5 linked regions of the Canis lupus familiaris genome follow. The protein of the gene in region 4 purifies or fractionates together with the protein of the main gene of each other region. This does not show direct contact. Links are inferred from orthologs where the notes say so. Each region holds a gene or a part of one and is shown on either strand. Other genes may lie near its edges. The genes, in order: MAPK11, MAPK14, MAPK3, DUSP9 and PGRMC1.

What was found.
Region 1: the proteins of DUSP9 (region 4) and MAPK11 purify together in Homo sapiens (affinity purification with mass spectrometry; 4 studies listed by BioGRID and IntAct, with this or other methods). This does not show direct contact. The link is inferred for Canis lupus familiaris from reciprocal best matches to the Homo sapiens genes DUSP9 and MAPK11.
Region 2: the proteins of DUSP9 (region 4) and MAPK14 purify together in Homo sapiens (affinity purification with mass spectrometry; 8 studies listed by BioGRID and IntAct, counting the BioPlex papers as one, with this or other methods). This does not show direct contact. The link is inferred for Canis lupus familiaris from reciprocal best matches to the Homo sapiens genes DUSP9 and MAPK14.
Region 3: the proteins of DUSP9 (region 4) and MAPK3 purify together in Homo sapiens (affinity purification with mass spectrometry; 4 studies listed by BioGRID and IntAct, with this or other methods). This does not show direct contact. The link is inferred for Canis lupus familiaris from reciprocal best matches to the Homo sapiens genes DUSP9 and MAPK3.
Region 5: the proteins of DUSP9 (region 4) and PGRMC1 purify together in Homo sapiens (affinity purification with mass spectrometry; 3 studies listed by BioGRID). This does not show direct contact. The link is inferred for Canis lupus familiaris from reciprocal best matches to the Homo sapiens genes DUSP9 and PGRMC1.

The regions. Positions count from the first base shown.
Region 1 is NC_049231.1:17,883,043-17,889,244, reverse strand, and holds the start of MAPK11 (mitogen-activated protein kinase 11), read right to left. Parts: upstream 4,032-6,202; 5' UTR 4,015-4,031; coding exon 3,899-4,014; intron 1,578-3,898; coding exon 1,448-1,577; intron 1,343-1,447; coding exon 1,284-1,342; intron 1,213-1,283; coding exon 1,101-1,212; intron 1,027-1,100; coding exon 997-1,026; intron 917-996; coding exon 869-916; intron 786-868; coding exon 671-785; intron 391-670; coding exon 319-390; intron 93-318; coding exon 13-92; intron 1-12. UniProt on the Homo sapiens protein: Serine/threonine kinase which acts as an essential component of the MAP kinase signal transduction pathway.
Region 2 is NC_049233.1:5,325,621-5,331,819, reverse strand, and holds the start of MAPK14 (mitogen-activated protein kinase 14), read right to left. Parts: upstream 4,066-6,199; coding exon 3,950-4,065; intron 1-3,949. Other genes in the region: SLC26A8 (testis anion transporter 1), read left to right, coding at 4,882-4,936. UniProt on the Homo sapiens protein: Serine/threonine kinase which acts as an essential component of the MAP kinase signal transduction pathway.
Region 3 is NC_049227.1:18,277,819-18,283,858, forward strand, and holds the start of MAPK3 (mitogen-activated protein kinase 3), read right to left. Parts: upstream 3,785-6,040; 5' UTR 3,771-3,784; coding exon 3,598-3,770; intron 2,584-3,597; coding exon 2,401-2,583; intron 553-2,400; coding exon 363-552; intron 185-362; coding exon 68-184; intron 1-67.
Region 4 is NC_049260.1:122,650,451-122,656,499, reverse strand, and holds the start of DUSP9 (dual specificity protein phosphatase 9), read right to left. Parts: upstream 3,889-6,049; 5' UTR 3,734-3,888; intron 2,912-3,733; 5' UTR 2,775-2,911; intron 2,479-2,774; exon of another isoform or gene 2,211-2,478; intron 1,178-2,210; exon of another isoform or gene 850-1,177; intron 1-849. UniProt on the Homo sapiens protein: Inactivates MAP kinases. Has a specificity for the ERK family.
Region 5 is NC_049260.1:92,014,750-92,019,779, reverse strand, and holds the end of PGRMC1 (membrane-associated progesterone receptor component 1), read right to left. Parts: intron 2,408-5,030; coding exon 2,304-2,407; 3' UTR 1,075-2,303; downstream 1-1,074. UniProt on the Homo sapiens protein: Component of a progesterone-binding protein complex. Binds progesterone. Has many reported cellular functions (heme homeostasis, interaction with CYPs). Required for the maintenance of uterine histoarchitecture and normal female reproductive lifespan.

The sequences.
Region 1 (6,202 bases), on a different chromosome or scaffold from region 4:
CTGCTGACTCACATGCTCCGAGGAGATCTTGGCCAGCACCTCAGGGCTGGGCGTGCCCACCACCTCCATGATCCGCTTCAGTTGGTCAATGTCTGCCCGGCTGAGGAAACGCCCTCCGGCCAGGAGTGGGCCCCTCCCGGTGCGCAGATCCCAGGCTGCCCTCCCGCAGCGGGCGTCAGAGGGCCCCGGCTGGCATAGTGTGGGGCCAGGAGGCAAGGCCGGCCAGAAAGGGCCCGTGCCCACCTCTGCGGAGCTCCACCTCCACCCAGCAGAGGGGGACCCGGGCTCACCCCCCTCCCCAACCTGGTCCAAGGATACAGTCATTTCCTGGGAAGAGGGCCTTTCCCTGGAGCAGCTCAGCCATGATACAGCCCACAGACCAGATATCCACTGTGGGGGAAGGAGTCTCCGTTAGTTTGCCTGCCCCAAGTCCCGCCCCCGCCCCCTCCCGAGAAGTAGGGCCGCGCAGACTGTGCCGCACCCTGGTCACACCCAGGCCCCCAACCAGCAGAGCCCTTACTCCCCTAGATACAACTCTGGGCAAGGGGCAGTTAGCCCGGGACCCGCTGCGCTCAAGTGACGGCCCCGGACCTTGCCTGGGCTCAGGTCTGGACACAGATGCCGCCCAGGCCCTAACGCAACATGTCTGCCCCGCCCGCGCAGGCCTCACCCGTCTGGTTGTAGTGCATCCAGTTGAGCATGATCTCAGGTGCACGGTACCAGCGCGTGGCCACGTAGCCGGTCATCTCCTCATCAGCCTGGCGGGCTAGCCCGAAGTCCAGGATCTAGGGCGACCCCCGGGCTCGTCAGCGCCTCCCTGAAAGCACCCCCGCACCGGCCCGCGGGCCCTCTCCAGCGGGCGGCTCACCCTGAGCTCGCAGTCCTCGTTCACGGCCACGTTGCTGGGCTTCAGGTCCTGGAGGGCAGGTGGGGCGTGAGCGGGAGGAGGGGGGCGCTGGGCCTGCACAAGCCCGCCCTCTCCGGCGGTGCACCTACCCGGTGGATGATCCCCGCGGAGTGGATGTACTGCGAGGGGGAGACCGTGGGAGCGTCAGGTGCCAGCCAGCACGGCCCGCCCCGCACCCCCCACGTGCGCCCACCTTCAGGCCGCGCAGCAACTGGTAAACCAGGAACTGGACGTGTTCGTCGCTCAGCGCCTGGCACTTGACGATGTTGTTCAGGTCGGCGCCCATCAGGGTGGTCACCAGGTACCTGGGAGGGGTCAGGGGTCAGCAGGCAGCCCCCACAATGCGCTCCCGAGCCCCGCATCAGCTGCCACTCACACTTCGCTGAAGTCCTCAATGGAGGTGGCCGGCGTGAACACGTCCAGCAGCCCGATGACCTGCGTGGGGACGGGCGTCAGGACTCGGCGAGGCGCCCTGGGGCTGTGTGCCCCGTGTGTGCCCCACCCCCACCCCGCTGACCTGCCCCGGCGCTCCAGGCTCACATTCTCATGCTTCAGATGCTTGAGCAGGCGCAGCTCGCGGTAAGTTCTCCGTGCGTGGATCAGCGACTGGAAGGGGCGCGACAGTTTCTTCACCGCCACCTTCTGGCGCAGCCGTGTGTCGTAGGCCGAGCTGCAAGGTGGGTGAGTGAGGCGGCGGGGTGGGGGCTGGCCATGCACCCAGGGCCCCTGCCTTTTTCAGAGGGCCCCTCGGGTGCACCACTGTCCATGTGGCCAGCCCGAGTCCAGCACCTGGGGAGCCTCTCCTCTGTGCCTCGTTCCTCAAGGGGCACCCACTCTCCAGTCCCCCTTCCCACACACATCCCAGCCATCCCAGGTCCCTGCCTGCCCCGCCTGGGACCCATGGGGCAGGATCTGGATCTTCTCCCCACAATCCAGCATGAGGCTGGGGGACAAACTCCACCAACCAGGTCAGGAAAACAGACATTGTGAACCATCCCCTTTCACCCCAAACGGTCCTCCTGCTCCCCTATGGGCCCACCACTCGTGGAGGCCCCCCCGGGTTCCAGAGCTACCTCCAGAGCCCCTGGACCCCCCCCACCTCTGAATATTCAAAATATGGATAAAAAGCTAGCTGAAAACGTTTACTGCGTTATTATTTCTAAGAGTGAGAAACTGGACTATACGAAGCATTCAGCAGAGGGTGGTGTCTGGACCCACAAAACATTCCCCTAGGCCCGCCCCACCCCCCAAGTTCCAGAAGTTCCACTGCACACCAGCTTCCACACCCCTCCACTCTGCACTGGAAACATCGTCTCCACACGCAAACGGCCTGTCACCGCTGGGCCCTCCCAGAGTTGCCGGCCTGGCCCTGGGGCCGCACTAGGCGTCCTACCTTTACAGGGACCAGGTCCTCACTGCTGCTCAGCCCTTCCCTCCCTCTCCTTTACCTGCACCCTCTAGAATTGTGCTTCCCCCAGGAGTGCATGCTGTCTACATGGGGAGCGGCTCCTGCAGCACCTGAGGTGCTCACGGGGCCCGGGGCAGGGGTGCAGGAAACCCAGTAGGTGTCTCGGGCCTCCATGCCCCTTCCTCCAGGCTGTAGCTTTTGGGGGAAGGTCCACGTCCCTTCTGGGGACACAAGCAGGGGAGTGGCCCCTCACGTGGGGCAGCAGATCCTTTGCTCAACTGTGTGTGCAAACTGAGTGACAAAAATGGGCACTGGGTCACAGCTTCACAGAACACGGGAGCCCAGGCGAGGGCCATTGCCTGCACTGGAGCACCGGCGCGTGCGGGCAGTGGGGAGAGACCCAGGGCTCCCCCGGGGAGTGTGATGCTCCCTAGGGACCCAAGCGATTCCAGCAAGACTCTATATTCCCCAGAGGCCACCTATGCACTGTCCTGATCCTCTTGCCTTTGAGGTCCGTCTTAGGGATGAAGACAGGCCCGAGGCTGGAATGCATAGGACAGCCAGCCTGGGGCCTCCCACACGTCGGCCAGTGACAACAGATGGGGGGACAGCAGCCCTGCTCCAGGCCCCAGCACTGAGCCCCTGGAGGGGTCAGGAAGTCCCCCAGGAGCAATGCCCCATCCCTAGGGGCTCCGGCCTCCCCATGTCTAAGACCTCCCCAGCCATCTGGCTGAGGCCTTGGGAAGGACCCCACTGGTTTTGGGGAGCACCTCTCAACATCCACATCCACACTCAGCTGGTCAGTATTGCAACTGCACTCCGAGTTCCCGTAAGCACCTTACCCTAAACCCCTCAGTGCCTCCCTAACCCTACACAGGTCTCAGCCAAGTCCCTTCCTCGCTCCCACTTGCAGACTGTCCTCGGGGGCCCAGGGACCAGGTGCGGGCTGTAGCCTGAGGTCTCCTGGTTAGAGCAAAAATGGAGTGGGGTGTAGGCCGACCCCACAAGTATGGTAGGGGGAGACGGCAGGCATCTCTGCTGGGCCCTCGGAGGGGGACGGCAGGCATCTCTGCTGGGCCCTCGGCCCCATCCAGAGTCTGAGACCCTTGGGAAACGGGAGGGGCAGGACCGGCCCCGGAGTTGGAGGCCATTGCAAGGGGAGGGGTCCTACCCCCCCCCCCAAGTTGGGTTCTTTTCTTTTGCAAACAGAAGTACTGGCTGGTACCGCACCTGCCAGACCCCGGGGTGCCGGCCCTTGCCTGGGGGCGAGGCGCACTCTCACGCGTGTAGGGCCCGGGGAGCCGCCCTTCCGCCGACCGTGACGCCGCAGGACCGGGGCCTCGGGGCGCTGGGGGGGGACGACCCCTCCCCGCAGCCCCGGGCCGCGTCCGGGGAAAGTTTCCTTCCGCCCCCGCCCCCATCCTCCGCGGCGGCCGGGATGGCCCGGGGCGGGGGCGCGCGAGGCCCCTCCCCACGCCGCGCTGCCGGCCGAGGGAGGGAGGGAGGGAGGAGGGGAGGGGGGAGGGGGGAGGGGGCGCGCCCCGGTCCCGCCCGCGCCGCCGCGCCCTGCCCGCCGCCCCTACCAGACCGAGCCGTAGGCGCCGGAGCCCACCGGGCGCAGCCCCTGCAGCCGCCGCGGCACCTCCCACACCGTCTTGTTGAGCTCCTGCCGGTAGAAGCCTGCGCGCGGGCCCGACATGGCCGAAGCGGCCGCCGCCCGCCCGCCCCGCCCCTGCCCCCGCCCGCCCGCGCCCCCGCCGGAGCCCCAGCCCCAGCCCGAGCCCCAGCCCCAGCCCGAGCCGCAGCCCGAGCCGAGCGCACGGAGGGCGGCGGGAGGAGGCGGCGGCGCGGGGCGGGGCCGGGGAGCGCGGGGCCCGACGCGCGGCTTCCTGCCCCAGCCGGGCGGTGTCTGGGCGGACGGCTGCCCCCCGCCCCATCCGGGGCCCGCACCCCTAACCCCTGCGCCCCGCCCCCTCCCGGGCCCCGCACCCCGCACCCCCTCCCGCACCCCTCCCGGGCCCCGCACACTCCCCCCCCGCCCCGCACCCTTCCTCCCGCACCCCTCCCGGGCCCCGCACCCCCCCCCCGCCCCCTGCCGGGCCCCGCACCCCCAGCCTCCGGCTGCAGCGCGCGCTCGCCGGGGCACCGCCCTGCCCGCAGCCTCAGCTCCCCGCCCCCTCCCCTGCCGGCACCGCGGGTCCGCGCACCGGCCCCCCCCACCCCCCGCTCCGGGCCCTGCACGACACCCCTGCGCAGCTGCATAGGAAACGCCGCCCAAGGAACCCGAACACTTGGTGGGACGTGGCCGTGGGGCAGGCAGGTGGGTGGCCCGGCCCCCCCCCGCCGCCCCGCCCGCGCCGTGGCCCGTGTCCGGGGCCTCCAGTGGCTGCGCGGCGGCTCCCGCTCGGGGCTGGCCTGGGCACCGCCGGGGGCGAGGCGCTGCTGGTGCGGCCCGAGGACCAGCCCCTTCAGGACCAGGGACAGCGGCAGCGCCCGGCCACCTCTGAGGTGCTGTACCCACAAACAGCTGCCCCCAACCGGGCCCCTTCGGTTCCCAGCTCCTCTCCTCCTAACCCCCTTCCGCCGCCACCTCTTGCGAGAAGCCCACCCTGACTTTCCCATGTCCTGCGCGGCTCCTCCGGGGCATCACCGCAGCTCGTTCCCTGTGTCCCCTCGGCAGCGCTGCCCGTCCCTCACCCCGAAGGGCGGCCTCGCCTCTGTCCGGTGCTGGGCTCGCGCACCTCTCCTTCCCCCTCAAAGGTGACCAGCACTGCCGGGTGACAGGTGCCTTCGGACGCGCGATGAGGGCGGGGGCAGGGCTGGCACCTCCGGGGACATGGCAGCCACGCCCTCTTCCAAACAAACCAAACCCTGAGATTTTATGTGAAATCTGCTGGCTTTAAATACCAGCAGCCAAATTAAAGCAAAGCGTTGTCAGGGCAGCACCGGGCAAACGTCACTGCCCGGCGCATCGGGACTGCAGCGTGAGCCGAGCCCCGCCCGCGGCCAGCCTGGCAGGACCCCGGCCTCAGTTTCCCCTCTGGGACCCCGGTGTCCCCGCCCCGCGGGGCGGTGCCTGGGTTTTGTGCGGAGCCAGTGCAGCTTCAGCTGAAGGCGGGGAGGGGGCGGCCTTTGTTAGCGCTGGGGGTGCCCCCAGGTTCCCATGGCGACAGGGCCCTCCTCCCGGCCAGCGTCCTGCCCGGAGGACAGAGCTCCATGGGAGGGACCCCGGTGGGACCCCTGCTGGGCCTTCCCACAATGCCATCCCGGCCACTGGCTGCAGGAGGTGGCTGCGGCCAGGTGACAGGCCTGGTGGCCTGCAGCGGAGAGCAGCGGGGAGCGGCAGGTGCCTCAGGTGGGAGCTGGGTCCCGGTGGGGAAGCCGCGGGGAAGATGCCGGCCCTGGGCCTCGGGACCCCATCCCGGTCTCCCCACTCCTTCGCTGTTATCCCTTGGTGTCCAAGGTCTCTCTCCTCTCCGTGTCCCCTCCACTGCCCAGGCCACCCGTAGGCCGGCAGGAGCTCCCCTGAGCTCCTCACATGGAGGCCCCTGATTCCGGGGAGGGGTCACTGGTTTGAAAGCAGGGTAGGGCCTTGGGCAGCTTTCTGCAACTTGGCAGGAAAGGTCATGGAGGCCGTGTGCTTCCTCCTGTCCTTGCCCCCACCTGCCCCACAGGGACACGGGGAAGTGGACACGGGAGGGTGGGTCATCGTCAGTTTGTCATGGCGACCACTCCAGGCTGGCCTGCCCCACCCCAACATCCACACCCAGTCTCTACCCTCACTGGCCCTAGAAGGACACCTCCTGCCCTCTGAGGGGGGGTAAACCCCCGTTGGGCCTGCAGCCCTTCCTCCACTGCCTGCATGCCCCCCAGAATGTGAGGGGTCC
Region 2 (6,199 bases), on a different chromosome or scaffold from region 4:
AAAAGCCAGAGGTTCAGGATACCCTCATTTTAAAATGGGAGCCAGAGAAAAGCATCAGAATCCATCAAAATGGGATTCAATTAGAAAAATTACTTTATAACAAATTTGACTGAATTATTTTTTTTAATTCTTTATGTTTATATATCAATAACATAAATATTTGCAATTATCTTTAAATATCTATTTGTTGTTGGTACTGGCAACATGCAGTGAACCATCTTGCTTTCGGTTACAAAGAAAAGCAAATGGGAAGAAAGTTCAGTAAGGGCCTACTATCGTCACCAGAAAAGTAAAGGGCAGGCCCCTCTTACTGATTAGGAGTCAAGAAAGTCATCTTTGCATAGTCAATAATGATGTATTTTCATTTATCTGTGCCCTGGCTCATCCTAAAAGAAAAGAATAAAAGATTTAAAACAGTGAATGGCTATTAACACTAAACCTTAGCTTTGTTTATTATATTCATGTATATACAGTCTTATTCCACAGAGCATTTAGGAAGCTGGATTTGATTTCTTAGTAAGTTTTGCCATCCTCTCACTAAAAAATCTTGCATAGGCTAAATACACTCGTGATAAATATAAACTACACAGTAAAATGCCTAGAACAGTAAGCAATCCATAAAATGTAGTTTTTTTATTCACATTAGACTTAGCTTGACGAGGGAATGGATTATCTCACTGTCTTGCTCAGCACTCTATCTCATGAAACCTAGCCCATTATCTAGTCCGTAGCTGGTATTCAGTGTTGTTGAATCAACAAAGGACTATGACTTAAGAGTATTTTTTATTTTATGGCTACCTATTTTATGGCTACCAGGGCCCCACCTCCTCTAATCAACAGCAAGGGTCTGGAAAAACCATACCCAGAGGAAAGGCATTTAAGTTCCTGTTTATATTTCCTTAAACTCACCACAAAGAGTCCCTCCTTCTGTCCCAAAACCAGAAAATCAATGCTTTGCAACAAAGTATTCTTAAACAATTTTGCTTCATTTCCCCTCACAGACAATGCAACAAAGTTCCTTAAAACTGCAAGACTTATTTAGTTCCCTTTACCTTTTAAAAAGGAAAGGTATATTATAAAACCTTATCAATTTTTTAAAAAATTGAAAAATTAAAAAAATAAAACCTTATCAATTTTCAATTTCTAGTCTGATTCCTTGATCTTGGATTCATAGCATACAGGCTGCTGCTTGCCTTTTTACTGTAGACTTAGTGAAAATTAAAATGAGAAAATAGGCTTAACATAAAAAACTTTTAATATACATCAAAGTATATCACACTTAGGAGCAATCAAATTAGGAAACTGACAGATATTTGCGTGAGGTTGCATTCCTTAAAATGCTTTCAGAGATTCTTTTTCGGAACAGACTTCAGATCCAGTTCTACAAGTCACACAAGAAATTCTGTCATTACTTTATAGTTATAACTCCTATTTGACCTAAAACAAGACCAACCTGAATGCCTAATCTTTCTCGCCAGACTTGAGTACAAATTCTCTAAATTATTTGAATTCAGCTTGATTTTCTTATTCCCTAAAATCAAATCTGTTCTTAAAGGATGATGGCAGTGAAAAATAACACAGGCTCCAGAATGCTGTAAGAGAAATTAAAAAAAAAAAAAAAAAAAAAGTTTGCTGCAACACCCAAAACACTGCTAAGAATCTGAAAGAACTGAAAGAATAACTTCAAATAATTCTGAATGAGATGCCACTTACTTATGTATATCTAAATTCTGATATTTTCAATCCAAAATCAATTATATTTGCCATAGTCAACTGACACACATAAGATGCATTCTCTTCCACCAATATACCATATGTCACACTTTAAATCCCTCAACAGAAATACTACTAAAAACAAATGAATGGGCTCTGCCTCCTTGTAAAGACACATAAGAAACTTAACAGGGGCTGTCTCAGAGGAAAGGAATAGCACAGTTGGAGAACAAGAAAGGAAAGGATACCTTTCGTTAAATATCCTTTTACGCCTTTTGAATTTTATACAATGTGTATATAATTCTATACATATTTTTTAAAATATGTTTAACAAAATCACTTCCAAGTGTCAGATATTTCTGGCTTCTGTAAGCCAAAAAAGTATAGTACTAAGGAAATGTAAAGGTCATTTTTATGATACTTCACTCTAAATCTGAATCTGCAGTTCCAGGACAGAGCTATTCATACCAACAGTAGGAAGACCTTGCAAGCAGTTGTTTTCAGGTCCACTAAACTCCCCATAGTTGAGCTATTCTGCTGTATCATTTCATTAAAGTTTAAACATCATTGGAAACAGAAACTTGGTACTACGAAAATTAATGTCAATTATGACATAACAGAATGAAAAAGAGTGGTAAAATAATAAGCTATTAAAGGAGCCATGATCCAAATATATCTCTGAAAATTTGCAAATCAATCACACATATAGATGGATACAGTAAAATGTTGCAAATTCCCTTAAAACGTAAACTGCCATATTATAAAAATGAGGAAAAGATGTCAAGCACGGGACCATCAGCAAGATGAACTCACGCAGCTTGAACTAGAAAATGCAATATGATCTGTTGCTTGACACAATTGCACAATCTCAATTACCCAGAAGATTCTAGCAAACAGGAAATTCATGATGTGACTTTAAGAAACACAAGAATTATAAAGATTAACACATCCAAAAGTCTGGAATTCGTTTCCCTCACCCCCACCCCCACCCTCCCAAAATCTTATGGAGCCCTTTTCAAATGATTCACATGAATACAGGAATTAGTTTCAGATCAGCAGCTCTCAAGTTACAGTAACTCTAAAATATGGTGTGTAATACCTAAACTAGTGAAATATTTTAGATCCAAGAATTTTATTGGATCGATTTAATTTAAAACACAGTGTGAATTAAAGCTGAGAAGTGTCTCTCCCTTCCTTTGCTATATATTCCCTATCCTTATGAAAACCATCGTGTACCTCAGGCTACAAATGTAGATCAGTTCCCTGCGAACTCTCTAAAGAAGTTTAAAAACACAATATTCACAAGATGTACTGCAATTAAGAAATACTTACAATACCTCCCCAGATTGCTCATGATTCTTTGATCTTGAGCGCGTCCAACGGATCTGAATCTCACTTGCTCCAAGTGAAAAAACTGTTTTTGCCAAACAATACTTAAATGAGCAGTGGTATGTGACTAATCAGTGAAGCCGCCAGTTTCTCAAGCTGCAGTGTTCTTGCAGGCACTACCACCCACCCCCACTCAGCGAAAAGGAAATACGCTTTCAACAGAATCGGAAACACACAACTCAAGCTGGCACTAGGCTGGCCGAGATAAAGTCGGTATTTTCGGTTCTTTGGGTCGCTGCTAATGCAAGTGCGAATTCGAAAAGAATGCCTCTCGAAATGAGATTTCGAAAGAGGTCTGCAAAAAAAAAAAAAAAAAAAAGCCAGGGCAGAAAGCCCTTGGTCGTCAGTTTTGTTCCGACGCTCGCAGTCTCCCGTAGAGCTTGGCCCTTCTGCTTCTCCCTGCAGCCCCCCCGGGCTTGTCTGCTTGGAGGGCAGGCTCCCGCGCGCCCAGAGTGGCTGCACCTCCGGAGAGGCTCCTTCGGCTCGAGGCTGGCAGGGAGACACCCCCCACCCCCGGAGAGACGCCCCGGCCTCTGTGCCAGCCCCCCTCCCCCGAGCAGCCACCCCCCCAGAAGGGATTGCGCAGGGTGCGAGGCAGGGCCGAGCTCCAGCACCACCGCCCACCGTGGACCTGCATCCTGCACACAGCCGACCGCCTCCCTGGGGGTGCAGAGTGAGGGGTGCAAGGGGGTCCCGGGCGTGCAGCACAGGGGTCGAATGGGCAACGATGCCCTCCCCCAGAGAAAATTCCTACCGCTTGGTGCATCGCTGAGCTGTGTGGGCAGGCCTGGTTCTGGGGTGCTGAGGCCACCAAGCCCGCCGCAGACCCAAGCCCGGTGACACTCACCACACGGAGCCGTAGGCGCCGGAGCCCACCGGGGACAGGTTCTGGTAACGCTCGGGCACCTCCCAGATTGTCTTATTCAGCTCCTGCCGGTAGAACGTGGGCCTCTCCTGAGACATCTTCCAGCGGCGGCCGCGGGGCTAGGAGGTGGCCCTGAGGGGCCCCGCCTGCGCCCGCACCCGCACCCGCTCCCGCTCCCGCTCCCGGGCCCTCGTTGCCCGCCGGGCCGGGCGGGGACCCGGAGCTGGCAGTCGGCGCAGGTGCGGCAGACGCGACCCCGCCGACTCCCGCGCGCGCGGCCCCTGTCAGCCGCAGCTGCCGGGCGAGCCCGGTGAAGGGCAGGGGCAGGCTGCGGGGCTCAGGGCTGCGCCCACCACGCTCTCCCTGCACCCTCTCCCCGACCAGGCCGACCCCGGGCTGCGCCGCGGAACTGCGGCTCCAGCTGCAGCGCCCGCTCAAGTTCCAGTGATCGCCGTTCCAGAGCCAGCGAACAGGAGTCGCTAGCCGTACTCTCGCGAGACCAGCTCCCGGGACTCTCCGCGAGCCGAGATTTTACCCAATATGGAACCTGCCCACGGGAGGGGGTGGACTACCGGAGAGGATGGGAGGAGCACTTCTCGCGAGAAAAGGGCAACAGCTGGAGACCAGAGGCAGGAACTCTCGGGGACTGCTCTTAAGGGCGCGAAGGCGGACCCGGGAAAGGGAGGGACAGGCAGGCAACGTATGCCGCGTGCGCCCCACCGTGGTCGGCGGGGCAAACGCCCGGCTCCGTGGCGGGAGGCGACGGCGACTAATAGGGTGTCGGGAAAAGAGCCAAAAGATCTTTGAACTGCCGGTAGTCACCAGCAGCCGAGCATCTGCTCAGCAGAACCTCCAACTTCCAAGAAATACTTACATTTGGAAAAGGAAGGTTCCAGCCAGAAAGCCGTTATTCCATGTTCGGGGACATACGGCTTAATCTTCGGAACTGTGACGGACCCTATCCCGAAAGCAAGTATTAGCTCTACGTTAAGTCTGAGGTTTTCCACCCAAACTCTCCTAACGGTCTTTAAACGTTTATGTGCAAAAGAACACTTGGAGTGTTAAAAAAAAAAAAAAAAAAAAAAAGCCAAGTCCCAGGACCCACAGGGAGTCTAAGTGGATAGGTCGGTGATAGGCGCCAAGAACGCGCATTTTTATAATATGCTCCAGGCAGTTCTGATTCAGGAAAGTCTCCCGCATCCCCCTTGGAGAAGGATTTTTGAAAAGAGTACTTCTGAGGGTTTGAAACTGAATCCTGCTCTGAAGCTTGATTCTTGCCTCAGGTTAAGGAGAGCAAGGCAGAGGGTGTCCTATTAGGCAAGTCTATTGACCTCTCTTAGACTCTAGTTCCAGCTTCTGCAAAAGTAATTCCTGCCTTACATCCGCGCCTAATAGGGTTACCTGTAAAGCTGAACAAGATAGTAAGTGTGAGTGAGCAAGATACTATATAACCATGCCTACAGCCACTGTAACCAACTTATTCCTTTGTTAAAGTTTGTTACAATGTCTCTTAGAAGTAACTGGGTCCAAGCCAGGACACCTCTCAACCCTTCCCGTGATTATTCTCTTTCGTGTCGTGCATCCTTTAGAATGCTCAGATTTTGCATATCTTGTCCCAGCACCTAGCACAGTGCCTAGAATATAATAGGTACCCCATAAATATTTATTGAACAAATTATGAATAATGACCATGATCTCAACTTAGGAGAGAGTGCAGGATCCTCAGTTCTCCTCAAGGAAAAACAAAAATAAAAACCAGAGTCATGGGTCATTCCTGGAAAGCTTTTCTTGGAGGATCCGATGTGGCTTAGTCTGGATTCTCTCGCCTATGAAGACATGCTGCTTGAAAATGTTCCAAGGCTACCTGCAGTTTAGGGAGCCCTCCAAGAAGTAATGAAGGTTGAAGGAAGAGGCGAGAAGCAAAAATGTGATTGGAAAGAAATGGCGGGTGGGAGTGGGCAATCAAGGTGATGAGTGGATGGATACAAGGGAGGAAACTCGGCAGTAGGAATGAACCTAAGGAATTCATGATTATCCACCAAATTGGGATAGTGAAGTGGGAGTGACTGAAAGGGTAAAAATGAACTAAACAGTACATTCAGTCACTCTTTCAACAAACATGTACCGAATGCCTACTCTGTGCCAGCCACTTCTGATTGACAAAAGGCAATTTAAAAATAGACACAGTTGGGCAGCCAGGGTGGCTCAGTGGTTTAGAGCCGCCTTCAGCCC
Region 3 (6,040 bases), on a different chromosome or scaffold from region 4:
TGCCTGGCTCCAGGGCTTTCTGAGACCTGGCCCCTGCCCTTTAGGGGTGGGTGCCCCCCCCCCATACCTTAGAGTTAAGCATGATTTCTGGAGCCCGGTACCAGCGCGTGGCCACATATTCTGTCAGGAAGCCAGTGTGGTCATGCTCAGGATCGGCAATCCGGGCCAGGCCAAAATCGCAGATCTGGAAGCCAACCAAGGCTGCTAAGCTCAGTGCTCAAGGCCCAAGGCCCACGTGGTCATATCACCCTGCCTCTGCCCACGCTGTTCCCTTTGCTTGTGATGGTTTACTCAAGGGGTCTACTGGTCACCTGGAAGCCCCAGACCCATGGGACAAGGGGACAGGCACCCAAGCCTCTGACCTTAAGGTCGCAGGTGGTGTTGATGAGCAGGTTAGAGGGCTTTAAATCCCGGTGGAGCACATTGGCTGAGTGGATATACTTGAGACCTCGCAGGATCTGGTAGAGGAAGTAGCAAACATGGTCGTTGCTCAGCTGCTGGCTTTTGAGCAACTTGTATAGGTCTGTCTCCATCAGGTCCTGCACGATGTAGCTGAGGATGGCACAAGAGCCCCCCCAGGTGGGGGTAGCGGGAGGCGCTTGGTTAAGAAGAACAGACTTTGGCAGCTAGGCTTCCTATCCCCTTCCAGCTAGTGTCCCTAAGACTCAACCCATATCATGAGCTGGACAAGGCCCAAGCTCAGCAGTTGGGCTCAGGGCCTCTTGCTGCATTCTCGGCTGGCACCCCCTGAACAAAAGTACTTCCATTCCGTGGCCTCTGTTTCCTTATTGGGAAAAGCAGGGATGATAAACTGCAGGAAGCAGGAAAGCTTCACGGTTAAGAGCAACCACTCTGGACTTGTTTTGCTGGTGGCCAAACCCCCACTCCACTGCTCATTGGCCTCATGACCTCAACCCATCTGCACCTCCATTTCCTCATGTGGAAAGCAGGGGAGAGAGAGTGGCTCTTTGGAAAGCAGTTATGAAGACTCAGTGAGGTGACCCATGGAAACCAGCCGGCCCAGTCCAGAGCCTAGCATGTTGTAAGTGCTCAGCAAACATGAACTAGTGTTGCTATGATAAATGCCTAAGCCACATGGCTGTTGAGAGGGTTAAATGAGATAGTGTGAACACCATCTGGCATGCAATAAATGTTTGCTTAAAAATAAATGCCTGCCTTATGGGGAATGGTTTGGGCAAGACAAATGAGGAGAAACTCCCAACAGCATGCTCCTCCTCAAAGAGTGCCTGGCCATACATCAGAAGATGGAAGAGTAAATGTCCTTTGGTATTTTAAGAGAAAACAAAGATTAAACATACGTTAAGTAAATAAATAAATAAATAAATAAATGCCATTTGGTTGCTCTCTGAAAGAATAAGTCAGGGCTGTCTTTTAGAATCAGCCTTGAAAGAGCCTTCTGAAGACACCTGGGCCGATTATGCTGTTTGAGAGGTGAGGAGGCCCAGCAAGATGCAGTGACTTGCTTAAGGTCACACAGCAAGCTAGTGGCGAGTGTGGAGATTTCCTGCCCACAGCTTGTGGTGGGGGCTGCAGACAGTGCAGCACAAATCCCCACATTTGGGTGGAGAACTGGGACTGGCTGGGGGTGGGTAGGGTGGGGAGAGGTGATGGGTGCTATAAGCTGCTAACAACAGGGCCTGACAGGAAGTGGACGACAAGCTAGGGAAGCAATGTGGGGGGGGGAGGGCAACAAAGACAAGGCTGTCCCTCCCTGGGCGAAGTGCAAGTCCACAGGTGACTGGGGTGAGGCTCTGAGCAGGAAATGTCAGAGAAAGGACAGTTCTCATCTGGGGGAGGTTAGGAGGCAGCAACAGCAGCACCTGATTTGGGGCTTTCTGAGCCTCAGTTTTCTCATCTTTGAAATGGAGCTGATGAGACCCATCTCATACAGCAGCTGGGAGGTAGAATAAGAAGTGTCAAAGCATTTGGCGTGCACTGCACCTCACTCATAGTAGGCCCTTCAGAACGGGCAGTTTTCTTCCTTCCTGCCTTCCTTCCAGTCTGCAGACCCAGAGAGGAAAGAATCATCATCTGTTAAACAAGAACTGTCTGTGGGCAGAGGCTGGGTCACGTCACAGAAATGCAGATGTCAAAAGACAAAGCTCCCATAGAGCCCAACTCTCACCCTCCCCCCAAATGAGGCACAGCATGGAGCACAGACTTGCCCAAGGCCACACAGCCTGGTTACAGCAGGCCAGGATTCACCTCAGGCCTCCCAGTCCTCTTACACTCTGTGGTCTCTTTTCTGCTGGAAAGTTTCATTTGCTGGGTTTGTTTTGGAGTGTGGCAGGAAAGAAGGAAACAGAAAGAAAGCCAACGTTCTCCCAGCCCGGCTCTGAGGCTATGCCTAGCCAGCCATCTGGCCAAGGTGAAGGATACACATCCCTCATGGCGTCCAGGGTGGGCGCCCGCAGAATGTCCCGAATGCCAATGACGTTCTCATGGCGGAAGCGCAGCAAGATCTGGATCTCCCTCAGTGTGCGCTGGCAGTAGGTCTGATGCTCAAAGGGGCTGATTTTCTTGATGGCCACGCGAACCTTGCGCACGTGGTCGTAAGCTGAGCTGAGAGGGTCAGAGAGATGTTGTTGGTGTGGCCTTACATAGGGGGAGTCCAGGCCTGGTGGCCCTACCCAGGCCTGAGCAGGGAGGGGAGGGAGCATGAGAGGACTCTGGCCAAGTCATAAACAATGCTGGTTCCTTCCTGCTGTGAAGGCCTGGGATCTCCAGGGAGAAAGCTGGGGACCAGCCAGGCAGCCCTTCGGTGACTTCACAAACAGAGGAAGAGACTGACCGTTCACTGACTTCCCCTCTCCTCAGCCCTGTCCATTCTAGTTGCCCTGACCTCTCATCCTCCCCTCTCCAGGCTGGGCTCCTTCAACCCAAGACAGGTCCAGGGAGTGGGAGGTGAGTGCAGGACGCACAGTGAGGCACAGTGAGAAGGAGGCGGTCAGGAGGGATGGGAAAGAAGGGATGAGGTGTTAGGGTCAGGCACCTGGGCAGGAGAGCTGTTCCCAGATGAACAAAGGCCCAGAGCACACAGTGGGGACGAGAGAGCTAACAGACCCCTTCTAAAAGTTGCAAGAACGCACCCCTGGACCCCTCATGGGTCACCGGGCTCCTGGCCCCAGGCCCAAAGCCCTGCCCCACCCTGCCCAGCCCTGAGCTCTGCTCTCCCCAGCTCCTTGGCAGGCCTCACTGGGAGAATCCAAGGCATCCTTTCCCCAGAGTAGGGTCCTTCACTCGGTCCTCACTGATATCACCTCCCCAAGAATACTTCGTGTCTCCGCCTCCTCCCGCGTCCACAGAGTCCCCAGGGTCCCCCCACGGCTCCCCCGCGGACACTCCGATGCCCCTCCCTTCACTACAGAATGGTCGCTCCTGAGGCCTCCCAAGCCCCCTCCCCTTAGAACGTAGGCGGCGCCGCTCCCCCAGAGCACCCCAGGGCCGCGCCGTGGGACGCCCCGCCGGCCTCGTGAAGCCCCCGCCTCCTCGGGACCCTGGGAGCGCCCCGGCCCGAGGGCACTCACCCTCGCGCGCGCCCCCCCACGAGCCCCCTCCTCCGGAACGCCCCCTCACCTGACCATGCCGTACGCGCCCTCGCCGATGTAGTGCAGCTCCGTGTAGCGCGGGCCCACGTCGAACGGCTGCCCCTTCACCACCTCCACCTCCCCCGAGACCCCCGGGCCGACCCCATCGGCTCCCCGGGGCTCCCCGCCCCCGCCCCCCTGAGCCGCCGCCGCCGCCGCCATCTCCACTCCTCCCCTCCCGCCTCCCCGCCTCCCCCCGGCGGCCCCGCCCGAGGCCCCGCCCCTTCCCGCCCGCCCCGCGCCCCGCGCCCCGCGCCCCGCCGCCGGCTGAGCCGCGTGCGCCAGGCCCCGCCCCCGCGCGCCCCCGCGCGCCCCCGCGCGCCCCACGTGACCCCCGCGCGCTCCCGGGCGCCCTCGGCTGCTGCCCGGGTCCCCGGTGCCCGGCCGCTCCGTCTGCTGCTGGCAGCCCGTAGGGACGAGCGCGGCGGCCGGGAGACGGTGCACCCCTCCCGCCGAATGCAGGCTATAGCCGGCAGGGCCGCCAGGTGACCTTCCCGGAGCCACCCAGCAAGCGGGTGCGGGAGCTGGGGCCGGGACCGAGTCGCCTGGCCCCGCCAGCTCTGCTGCCAACCGAGTCGCGGCCCGGGGCTCGAGATGGAGCCCCAAGGGGGCCCTCCCCAGCCCTCTGGAGTGTGGCCTCCGAGCGAGGCTCGGCCCGACGACACACGGCCGCATCCGCATTTCCCAGTAGCGTGGGAGATGGCTTCTTCGCAGATACGGCCTGCCTTTCACAGATGAGGGGCCGAGGCTGGTGACTTGGAGCCACCGAGAACCCGCAGGTCCAGACTCAGCCTAATGGGTTTCTGACAGGCCTGCGAGAGTGGACTAGGGGCTTGGCCTCTTGCCAGCGACAGTACAGTGCTGGAAGTGAGCACCCATAACCTCAGCCCATTTAGGTGGAACTGCAACAGAAGGGCGGGAAAGCTGCCTGCAGTGTTGACCAGGTTTGGTTAAAATACACTATCAGGCTTCTCTCAAAAAACAGCAAAATAGGTGACGATTTTGTTGTCATTGGACTTGGTGAAACTGGAATCCTGGCAGGATCACCATCTTTTGATGGGATGCAAGATTTTGTAGTTTACACCATACTTGGACCAGCTGGGTTTCTTCCATAGGACAACCGCACATTATAGGTGTCCTCCGATTTTCTTAACAGGATGAGCAGGGGCCATGTCTGTCTTGCTCATTACTGTATCCTCCCCTGTACCTGACGCTCAGACGTTCAAAGATTTTTGACTGGATAAATCAAATTGTATGGATGGGGAGTTGAGACTTAAAATGATATCTTTTGACACAGAGGCAGAGGCTCTTTTCAATTCCATTCAATCTCCCAGAATCAGAGCCTGTTAAAACCCAGGAAAGGGCCCTCCGAGGCCATCCAGTCCATTCCCCTCACTTCACAGAGAAGCTGTGAGCTGGACGCTTCACAAAACACATCTCCTAGCCTTCAGTAAGTAACCACGTTGGGTTTTGTTTGTTTGTTTGTTTTATAATCCCTTAGAAGCTAAGAGTAGATCCTTATGTGCATTACAGATCAAGAGACCAAATGGAACAGTAATTATGATTCTGAAATTGCTCATAATTAGATCTACAGCCAGGCACTCTAATTCAGATTAATGAGACTGAGTAGCTGGTTCCCAATAGCCTACAAGTCAGTGAAGGTTTAAGAGATGCTAATTAGATCAATGTTTCAGGGTAGGTTTGTTTGTTTGTTTTGTTTTTAATTATTCATTTGATAAGCAATTGAATTGCACTGTGTGCAAAACTCCTAGCTAGGTAGGCACTGTGGCTAATGAAAGATTACTATATAGTTGTGAACTAGTGGGTAAGAGCAAGAGCTGTCTGGATTTCCTGGGTTAGAATCTCATCTTTACCACTTACTTGCTGTGTTACCCTGGGCAGATTACTCTCTGGTCTCTCTACCCACGGAGTTTCTAATCTATTGAAGAGAAAAGATGCACATACATAAATCACTGTAATACAAGATAGATGGATGTCGTATATGGTGTGTGAGCTCAGGGTTGGTGAGATCGCCCTCCTTTAGAGAAACAGGGAGGGAGCTAAGGAGGAGATAACATTTGCACGATGGAAAAAGAAGTGGGGTTTTGGAAGGTCGGCATAGAGGGAAGGCATCAAGGAGAAGGAGCAGCGTGAGCCCCAGCACAGAGGCAGGAGCATGATTTGTCTAGTGTGGCTGCAGTATAAAGGATTAAAAGGGGTTCAGGCTGAAGAGGTAGGTTGGGGGCCAGATTGAGGAAGGCCTTGGATTCAGGCAGGGAGTTTGGATGTGACTCAGTAAGCGGTAAAAGCCTTTGAGGGACTTTTGCCAGATCATTTTGCGACTGTGGGAGAATCTAATGACTCAGAGAAAGCACCACGGAGTTCAGCGTGGAGCCAGGTTTCCTGAGCGGGACCGAGCTTCCCGGCAGAGG
Region 4 (6,049 bases):
GAGATCACGGTCGGAGGAGGAAGCAAGGGCAGAAAGCCACTGCTGTCTTCTGGCCCTGAACTCTGCCCAAGGGCATGTGACAGCTTCTGGGGACCCCCGAGGGCCTCCCTCGCACAGGAGTGAATGACCCCAGGCACCCAGGAGCTCTGAGTACCCAGCCCTAAACTTGGGTGCTCTGCTCTTGCCACGTTACTGTCCCGGGACTCATCCCTGGCATCTCCCTCTGCCTCCTCCCTGGTCACGAGCCAGCGACTTTGTACTCAGCGCATCTCTCACACCTGCACGCTCCCGTCTGCTCCCTGCGCGAGCCGAGGGCTTGCACTGGCCAACTCTTGGCCAGGTGGCTGTCGCGGCTTCCAAAGCCCCCTGTCCCTGCCTCCGGGGAGGCCAGTCCGCCTCAACCACCCCCCCACCCCGCTCTGCCCTGCCCCAGGCCATTTGTTCATTAAACACCAGCGGCTTCCATACCTTCCACGGGCACAGGATGACACACAGGGCAGGACGCACAGGGGCCCTGCTTGCACCGCACTCCCAGTTTAGCCGGATAGGTGCGTGATAAACAGGGACACAGAACAACATAATGCTGGGTGCGATAAGTGTCCCTTCCCTGCTTAAAGCCCATTGAGAGCAAACGGCCGGGTTGAAGGAAAATGTAGAGCAGATAAGATAAAGCTCATACAAATTAATCAAAAGGTTAAGACTCTGATAAATGGGCAAGGAACCAGAAAAGACCGCATGAGGGAAGAGATGCAACTGAGTGCACCTGGGCACAGGACATCTGGGGGAAGGTTCCAGCTCAGGTATGGAAGGCAGGCAGGCACATTTCAGAGACAAGGCAACACTCCCCACCTGTCACATTGGTAAAATGTTCTCCCAATGAGTACACTCAGTGCTGCCAACGATGCTGCAGAGTCAGCCTGCTGCTCTACTGCTGCTGCTGGAGGATTCTCTATCTGTGTGGCCCTTCTGGGTATTCATTTGGTCATAGGCGTCCAGAGCTACGAAGACACCTACACCCTCTGGCCACTTCTGGGAATCGACCGCAGGGAACCGAGTAAAGGCAGGCACACAGGACGGGCACCACCAGATGGGAAACTAAGCCGCGGAGGACGCAAAACCGCGGGCAGGCCAACGTTTACGATAACCAGGTTCAGGGCCGCGGATGAAGACTCCTCTCCTGAGCCACGGAAATAAGAAGAGAAAACTGGAGAAGTAACACTAGGGAGAGGGCAGGTTACGGGGAGCCAGGCCCTCCAAGGGGCCTCCAGGGTCCCCCTCCTCTTGCGCTGCCAGCCCAGGGCTCCTGTGGGGCTGCGGCCCACGGCCTGGCCTCTGGGAGGAGTCCCGCTGTGTCCCCCTGCCCCCAGCCCAGACCTCCCTCCTCCACAGCCTAGTCAGATTCCGCTCCTTTTGCAGCGGCCCCTCCTCCTCCCCCAGGTGCCCTCCTCCAGGCAGCCTTCCTGTCCTCTCCTTCCTCTCGCTCTGGGCCTCAGTTCCCTGAAGCTGCAAAGCCTAAGAGCTGCAGCTTGGGGGTTCCTGAGGTGCCCAGGCATGCTTTCTGGAGAGGGCTCCCTGTAAGGCTGGGGGGGGGGGAGCCTGGCTGGGAAGATGGTGGAGGTGAGGCGAGGTGGGGTGGGGTTGGGGGCAACTTTCGCACCCCTGAAGGGAGAGCAAGCTTGGCTCCAAGAAAGTCCCCCCGAGTGGGCTGTACCGAGCCTGCGGGTCCCAACGCCCGAGGAGGGGCTCCCCTGCACCCTGCTCCCGCCGCTGGCAAGCCCACCAACCGGGAGGGAGCGGCCCCGGGGGGGGGGGGGCGCAGTATCCAATCTCGCAAGTGAGTAGTCGGTGCCCGGCGCCAGCAGCGCCCGCTGCGCCAGCAGCAGGACAAACTGGAACCTGTTGCCACCTCCGCAGTGCAGGGCTGCGCGCAGCCAAGCCCCCCACCCCCTGACCCCCGCCGGCCGCCCGCACCCGCACCCCTGTGGGCCCGCCCCGCCGCGCCCCGCGCCGGCTCCCCAGGCCCGCAGGCCGCGCGCTCGCCGCAGGGTGGGCCCCGAGCCGGCCCCTCCAGCACCCCCCCCCGGGCGCCCCCCCAGCCTCCACCCAGCCCGGCCGGCGCCCCTGGGGGGCCGCAGACCCCGCGCGCCGCGTGCGCCCTCCGGTGCCCCGGAGCCCCGGGGAGCGGCGCCCCCTCCCCCGCCACCCCTCACCCCGAAGCGCCCGGTTCCCGCCGGGCCGAGCGGCGGGCAGGGTTTCGGCTGTGGCGGCCCAGTCACATGGCCGGGAGCACAAGTCCCAGCGCCAGCGTCCCTGGCAGATCCGGCGCCTCGTCCACAGATCCACTTTCCGCCGCGGATGCTTTCTGCCTTTCCCGGTCGGGCTCCTCGCAGGACTGGGAGTTCCTCCAAGGCGGAGCGGCCCCAGGCTGCCCCAGCCCCCCGCGCAGGGCCTGGCCGGCGCTCCCAGAAGAAATGCTCGCTAACAAAGAAGTCATGAATGAATGAAACCAATTGTTGCATGAGGGAGCCCCGGCGGGTGCTGCTTCTCCCGGAGGCTCACGCGCATTTTCCCACCCCACAGACCCCCACGCACACGCACACACAGCCCGCCGCTCACCGCGCATGCAGGCGCACACACTGCAGCAGACTCCTGTCCTCGCCCAACCCACCTACTACGTGCGTGCCCGGCCACCCGCGGCGTGTGTTTGGCCGCAGCTGGGCCACCTCGCCCTGCCTCGCCTCCCCCCACCCGCACCCCACAGCTAAGTACGGTACCTTGCACCCCAAGTGCCTTCTCTATCTCTTAGGGAAGAGGCCAAGCCAGTCGCTGGGGAGACTCAGGATCGCTTTAGCTTGGCACCCAGGGGGCCTCAGGACGCGAGCTGCTGGCGCCAAAGGCGAGCCAGAGGCACCTGGCAGGGATGCCACCAAATGCTGCAGCCTCTAGAGCCCGAGTGCCAGGTGTCAGGGGGTGGCGGTGGGAGGGACTCGGGCATGTGCTGGGTGGGGGGGGGGTGCTGGGGGCTATTTGCCACGGGGTTGGGGCAGGGTGCCAGAGAGGGTTAATCCAGCAGGTGTGCATACGTGTTGGGGCGTACGAGTGTGCACGCTGGGGAGGCAGGAGGTGTGCGCCTGGGGAATGGGCCTGGCTGCGGCGGCGGGGAGTGTCGGCTGCTGGGGCATGAGTTAGTTTTGGGTCTTCACTCGGGGGTAGGTGGATCGCAGTGTCTCTGGGCTGGGAACGTGGGTGGGGTGTCTGTAATGAGCATATGGGTTGTTGGAGATGGTGGTGGCACGGCGAGGGGAGCTATGTTAGTGCAGCTATGGCAGGGATGTATCGCGTGTGTGTGCGCGCGCGCACGCGCCTGGGTGTGTACTGAGGCATGGCAGGGTCTGGGATGGGTGCTCGCCTGAGTTGGGGGCAGTGCCGGGCGGTGGGTCAGGGGCTGCTGCTGCGTTCGCTGCAGGACTAGGTCCCCGGTGCGCGGTTTGTGCGCGCGCGTGCAAGTGGCAGGGGATGTGCGTGGCCGAGGACAGGGAGGTGCACGGGCGGGATGCGGGGGGTGTGAGGGGGCAGGATCGAGTGGGGCTCGCAGGGGCGCGTGCGTCGGCCCCGTGGGGTGCGCGCTGGCAAGACTTTGGGGTGCAGGGTGGAGGCGCTCACGTCGGAGGGGGCGGCCGGGCGGGGTGGGGGTGGGGTGGGTGGGCGCCGGGGAGCCGCGTGCTCCGCTCACCTCCGCTCACCTCCGCTCACCCCGGATCCGCTCGGCTTCCTGCGCCGGCTCCGCGCGTCGCGGCCGGGAAGTTTCCGAAGCCCGGGCGGCGGGAAGCGCCACCGCCGCTGCCACCGAGCGCCACCGGAGCCTCAGGCGGCGGCCTCGCCTGGAGCCGAGGGGCCGCCGCCGCCGCCGCTGCGGAGGGAAACTCCAAAGCCCGCCTCCGCCGCCGCCTCCTCCCCTCCCGTCGCCGTCTTCTCCGCCCCCTGCCCAGGAGGGGCGATGTCGCCGGCGGCGCGCGGGGAGGGAGCGCGGAGCGAGCGCGGAGGGAGCGCGGCCTGCACCTTCCCCGCCCCGGGCCGCCCTCCTCCCGCCTGCGAGACTGGCCGCCCCGCCCGCCCCGGCCCCCTGAGGGATGCTCGCGCGGCCCCGGCCCGGGCCTCGGGCGCAGGAGTGGGGGGACACCTGACCCGGCGGGACCTGGGCTGGGGGAGGGTGGCACCCAAGAGTCCACGCGGGAGGGCAGCCAAGGGGCCCGTGGAGGACCGGGCACAGCTTGGCCCCCAGGGCCACCGCCTACTGCCACACAGGGTCCATCTGACAGTGCTGCCCCCCCCCCCCCCAGTCCCAGGTCCGTCTGCACTGGCTTCTCCCATTCTCCTGTATCAGATTCTGGCTAATAATAATAGCGTTTGAGCCTCAGTGCCTGGAAGGGGTGGAGCCAGGGCATTGGGGGAGGGCCCGAGAGGGGGCACTGTGGCGGCCCACTTCGCTGTCCTCCGCAGCCGAGGCCCCGAGCATCTCCACCAAGGACCTCATTTTGTGCCCACACCAGTCCGGGAGTCAGAGGGGACTGCCCCCCCTGCCCCGGAGAGCTAGGGACACTGAAGCAGTGGCTTCCTGGGGTCAAGCACGATGTAGTGGCAGCACCAGAGTGGGTTCGGAAGCCCCCCTCCAGTGTCAACAGCAGGACGCACTGGGTTCTGGGCCTCACTCACTGCGGGGGGTGGGGTGGGGGAGAGGAGGCAGGGAGGGGGCGCAGGGGGCTCCCAGGTCAGTGGTAGCTGACTTGCCCCCCCACGTGGGGCACGGGATAGAGAAGCAGCAGGAGGCTGCGGGCTGCTGTGGGCCAGCTGCTGGCAGGCCTCCGGCGTCTCTGCTCAGGGAGCCCAGAGCGAGGCGACGCCAGGCCGGGATGGCATCAGGAGGGAGGCGCGCAGAGCAGGGATGCCAGCAGCGCCATGGATGAGGGGGCAGCCAAGGGAGGCCGGCTCCTGCCTGCAGCTGGGCCGAATTCCCCTGAGTCACTTCCTGGAAACCACAGGAGAGGGGCAGCTTGGTCTCTGGTGCCTCAGTTTCCTCACCTGTAGAGCTGGGGAGAGGGGAGGGCCTCGTGACCTCCCAGGGCCCCACGAGCTTTGCTGCACTTTGGAGGCGCGATGTGTGAGCCCCAGGGGGGGCCTGCTGCCAGCGCCCGGCATACCTGCCTTGTCCTTTGCCCCTTCCAGCGTCCGCAGACGCTCACCCCAAAACCCCCTTTGCTCTGGCCCCGGGGCCTTGCAGGTGCATCTGCCAGGCAGGCCCCGGGAGCCGCAGAGCCAGGCTGGTGCTGTCAGCCGCCCTTCGGCCTTAGGGGCTCCGGGTCCAGCGTGGAGCCAAACGGCGCAAACAGGCTGCGCAGGTGCGTCCAGCGGGCTGTGTGTGGGCCCTCCTGCTGCGCGAACCCCGCGTTTCTCTGCCAGGCCGCCCTGCTGGTGCTCCGAAGTCAGGCGCCTTGGCCGCGATCACCATAGGCTGGCAGCTGCGCCTCGTGGTAATAGGACCATTTTATCAGGCGAAACGTGAAAACATACAGAGACCAAAAAAGAGGGGTGCTAGTTTTCATCCCACCCTCCCCCCGCCCCATAGGTCCTCCCATTTGGGGAAGATCCATGGTGGCTGCGCCCAGGGCCCAAGGCACTCAGCCAGCCCCCAGCAAAGACCTGGTGAGCTGATGCAGAGGGTTTTTTGCCCCCGAAAGGTTGGATTAACCGATCCCCAGCTCCCCACCCCCACCCTGCGCTGGAGTGACTCAGGGCTGAACGCTGGAGGAGGAACATTTAGATTGAATGAGGCCGCCCCCCACCCCTGCAAAGTTCCCACCCCAGCCCTCCCACGGCCTCTGCTCTCCAGGCAACAGGACCCACCCAGGGCGCAGGAGAAGAATGCCAGCCCACATGGCCAGGCCAGCCGAGGGCTCTGAAGGCGCAGGCCTGCTAGGCCTCAGGCGAGCGGGCCTCTCCTCCCCTGCCCCAGGGACTGCTCTCGGCTGGCAGGGCGCGGCCTAGACCCTGT
Region 5 (5,030 bases), about 31 Mb from region 4:
GGACGATTTCCTCTTGGCATCAGACAAACCCATTTAACTCGGAAGGAGTAGCCTGATCTTCACTTCGGTCTAAATGGGATTTCAGGGTGCAAGGTGGCCCAACTTTTCTCCCTCCCACCCCCTTCCCCAAAGCACACGGTATAACAGGGTGTTTGGCACAAAATGGGCAACTCAGATATCAGTTGAATGAAAGCAAGTTGGGGGGATAGGCTCATTTAAAAACAACAGAAACAGGCAATGGTTTGGAAACAGAAAAACTGGAAAGCTGCAAGCTTTCAGGTCAGAATACTTCCCTTGTAATAAGACTCTGCCAACTTGAATGTTAAAATGACAAAACATCAATATTCAGAGAAAGACGTGTTTACACAATGAACTGCATATGCAAATTTGATCTTTTGACAAGAGGTGAATTGATTTTGCTAGGATAGAAGAATTCCTGAATACTTTCCTGATCAGATGATATCTGAAAACAGAACCAACGCTGCCTTGGCACTTTTTATGCCCTTAGTAAAGCTACCCCGTAATAACCTTGCTCTGGACCTCAAGGCAGAGGTGCCTCTGAGTTTAGAGGCAGAATTTGACAAGTCACAAAAAATAAATTTACTAATTTAAAAAACAATGTTGGTTTTTGCATTTTCATTAGGGCAGGCTAGCTAATCTCATTTCACTGGTTTTTTAAAAAAGATTTTATATATTTGAAAGAGTACATGAGTGGGGAGAGAGGGGCAGAGGGAGAAGCAGACCCTCCCTGAGCAGGGAGCCTAGACACAGAACTCCGAGATCATGACTTGAGCCAAAGGGAGATGCTAAACCTACTGAGCCACGCAGGCACCCCTCAATTCACTATTTAACAGGACAAGCTGGTATTTGGTTTTCGGTGTGAGGCCTCTGCAGTTTTGCTCCTTTACTGGAATACACACACACACACACACACACACACACACACACTCATGCATGCGCACACACACCCCCCCAAAAGGGGAGCTGAGCATTAAGCTAAAGTAAAATGATTGAATCTGGTTTCTTAGGTTAAGGTTTAAGAAACCTTAAAAGGTTTAAAAACCCACCACACTATACTGGGTAAAACCATTTTATTAACTGACCAAAGCACTTCATTTTGTTTTCTGATTTGAGGTAAAACCATTAAACACGGTTCACAAGAAAATACAAGAACTATTCAACTACAGTTACAAGAGTTTGAAACCTCACTAGTTGTTCATATAATACTTTTACAAATTCATACAACTGTACAGTCTACTTAAGCTAAGTTTATTGTTAACCAAAAGACCAATATCAAAGACCTTGACTCTTGCCCTACTACTCTTGCAGTGGCTATGGTTTTGTAACAAGGGAAGAATAACTGTTACCTTAAGAAATATACGTTAAAAACCATTTGGCTAGTAATGTGTACTTTCTTCATTCCTCAGGGGCGTGTGTTGTGCGGTGTATGTGTAGGCTCTCCAGAGGGCAAACGCCTGCTTCTGTTCACCATAATCCCTCTCACGGCAAAAACTGTGTGAAATCAACACTGTCCCACTGTGAACATGGGGATTGGGGAAATAGTTCTACATTTTCTTTGTATATTTAGGTTTTTCGGGAAGCCAGTAGATTTCTTCCGAAGCTTTCTTTTGAACATTCAGATGGTGTTTTTAGAGCCTTATTATACATTGCTGTGTTAGTGGGGGCTTCTAAGTGTCCAGAGGAGGACAAAAAGAATGATGCAGTCTAGAAACACAGTGAATGTATTTTTCTCAACCAAGCCCAGCTTTAAGATTTCTTTCTTTTTTCCTGGGCAGCTCTCTTTAGTCAATACCAAGGCAGGCTTTGGAACACTGCAGATTTGCTTTAGAGGTAGATAAAACAGAAATCATGCAGTTAAGTCAATTGAGGAGGAAGGGCTTTGCACTCTTGAGGACATCAGGACCAGAAGGGGATCCTTTTTTTCGGGACTAGAAGGACTTTTCCCATTTAACATTTTTACCTGTTTGGGGGAAATACCCAAGTCTTACCTGTCTCTCTCAGGAAAAACTAAAGGCAGCCTGCACTAACTACAGACAGAAGGAGAGTGCCAACATTTGGATTACGGCACTGCAGTTCACGGTCTGGGTCTGTGACACACAAACACGTCATGCACTTGGAGACAGAGGTTAATTATATCAGTGTCACTAGTGATGTTAATTACAAAAACTTACAGCAAGTTCGAAACTTCTCTAAATATCGAAATCACCATGTTTTAAAGACAGACTGGAATGTTACAAATGATTCTGCAAAATACAAAAATAGATATGCTTCCACTGGGTGCTTTAATCATTTTTCCGAGCATTCTCATCTTTTGCTTCTTCCTCATCAGAGTACACAGTGGGCTCCTCCCCCTCCTTCAGCAGTTTGCCCACATGATGATACTTGACTGGAGGGAGAGAAGAAAACACAAATGAGCACTCTCACGCTTTACAGAGAACCGCTACATTTCATTGGAAAGCATTCGGTAGAGGCCTACCGCCTGTGCTGCAATGTGCTGGGCTTCTCGAAGTTGTCAATCACAGAGGACATACAGCACAGTCCTTGCCAATGGGGAATTAAGAGTTTCATTCAGGAGAAATACAGAACAGGTAGTGATGTCGGGCACTGGGAAGGTCCCAGGGAGTCGTATTTGTGGACAGGAGGGGGTGAGAAGAGCAAGGGCTCATGAGCTGTGAGTGAGGATTCTAGAACACCCTCCCAAAGAAGGCAATGCTTTGGGAAATGCACGGAAGGATCTGAGACGAGAGGGGTTTCCAGAAAATGGAATTGCAGTGTACAAAAAGGCATGCAGGGGAGATGTAACAGATCTGGAGAGCCATAGAGAGACCAAGCTGACAGCAACAGTGGGAGTGCAGATGGCTAAGCAGTGTGGGTAAATATTACGAAGGTTGTGGAAAGCCAACCTGAAGCATTTGGACCTAATCCTATAGGTGGCAAAAGTGTGTGACAAAAGAACGACACAGGAAACCAGTGCTTTGGCCAACATGGGATGGTGGTGGCATATCAGGCGGATTAGAGCCAGGAGACCAGGCGCAGGCTGCCCGGGGCGGGGTGGGGGGGCAGTGGGTAGATCTGTGTGTGAAGGAACAAGAGCCAGGAGTAGGGTGTCCATGGGAACAGAAAGGCTAGGATATGAGCTACTTTAAAGGAAAATGGAAACGTGAGTTGATGAAGTTAAGCCTGGAGCTTCCATGAACCAAACTGAGAGCTCTGGAGAGGGAGCCCCTCTGTGGGTGGGTGGGGGGCACGCAACAGGAAGTCCACAAGGGCTGGAAAAGTGAAGTTAATATTGGCAAGAAGCAGGTTCCTGGAAACCTCTGAGAAAGAAAAGTTCAGTGGAATTGTGGGGCAGCAAACTGTCTCAGAGAGTAAGGAAGTATGGGGAGGAAATGAAGTAGTGGTTGGGGACAAGCACTTCTCAGATGGTTGGTGGTGAAGGGATGAGGAGTCTAGTGGATGAACGAAAGCAGGAGACTGAATGTTTTCTCCACCCCAGGAAAAAAGCTGTGCAGGGCAGTTAAAGAAAGTGATTAAGGAGGCAGGAGAGCACTGGAGATGTTGGAGAAAACAGACTTAAGACTGCAAACCAGAAACTCAGCCACCAAAAAGAATGAAATCTTGCCATTTGCAGTGATGTGGATGGAGCTAGAGTGTATGATGCTAAGCAAGATTAACTCAGTCAGAGAAAGACAAATACCATATGATGTCACTCGTGGAGTTTAAGGAACAAAGCAGATGAACCATAGGGGAAGGGAGGGAAAAATAAAGATGAAAACAGAGAGGGAGGAAAACCATAAGAGACTCTTAACTATAGAGAACTGAGGGTCGCTGGAGGGGATGGGGGGATGGGGTTAGGGTTAAACTGGGTGATGGGCATTAAGGTGGGCACGTGATGGAATGAGCACTGGGCATTGTATGCAACTCAAGAAATCACTAAACTCTACCTCTGAAACTAAGAATACAGTATAGATTACTTAAACTGAATTTCAATAAAAATTTTTTTAAAAAGGAGAGAGGGGATAGAGTCAACAGACCACCAACCACCACACTGGCTGTTCTCTTGTGGCCCAGCTAACACAGGGTTAATCTTATCAATGTCAGAGGCCTAGAGGGCTGAGAGTCTCCTCTTTCTGCATATGGGTAGAAATTAGAGGAGTAACCAACCTGTCTAACCAGGTAGCCAGGCCTGCTTTTGTGTGAAATAATCACTGGAAACAATAGGAACTTCCCTATTTGAACATGTTATGAAGGTCCCTAGGGTGCTCAGGACTGTGCAAGACAAAAGCTGGGTGGCGCCCAAGAAACCTGCTTGAAGGAGAGTCCACACCAGTCTCGAGTGGAGCTCAAGTGTCAACACAGAATATGGGCCTGGTCTTATTAGTTTAAGGGGGAGAAAGTTTTTATGGTTTTTACCTCCCTGGTGAAGGCAAGCCCTAGAAGATTGAGCTTTGTTAAGTCAGAAATTACAACTCGGCAGCTCCACATAAAAGAACCTCTGTTTACAAAGGCATCCTTTGGATACAAATAAAAAAAAAAATCAGGGACGATGTTAGTTGAATTGTGTTTTCAAAGTAAAAACCTGCCTCTAGACCTGAAAGCTACACTTCTGTCCAGTTGGGACCCAAAACTTGAAGGTGGAGTGAGTCACAGCTAGCTAATAATTAACCCAGACTCTGAAGTCAGCATTATTTTCAAAGAAAATGGTTGGATTCAGCCAAAAGAGTCAGTAATATTTAACTGGCTATAGAGAACAGCAAACAGAAAAGATAAATTTGAAAATAAAACATCTTGAAGTGATGGTCACAGTCTTTATATACTGCTTCAAAGGTGGGAAAGATTAGTCAAATTCTTAGCAGTGCAATGTTGCTAAAGTGATTGTTAAACACTTAGGCTCAACCAAAGCCAAGTCCTCAGTTCTTGAAATTTGAACTTAACCCCCGTCCTGACTCCCCCCTCCTCCCAAAGATCTCAGCCTATAGCATAAACCAGGAAAACAAGCAGCTCCTCTT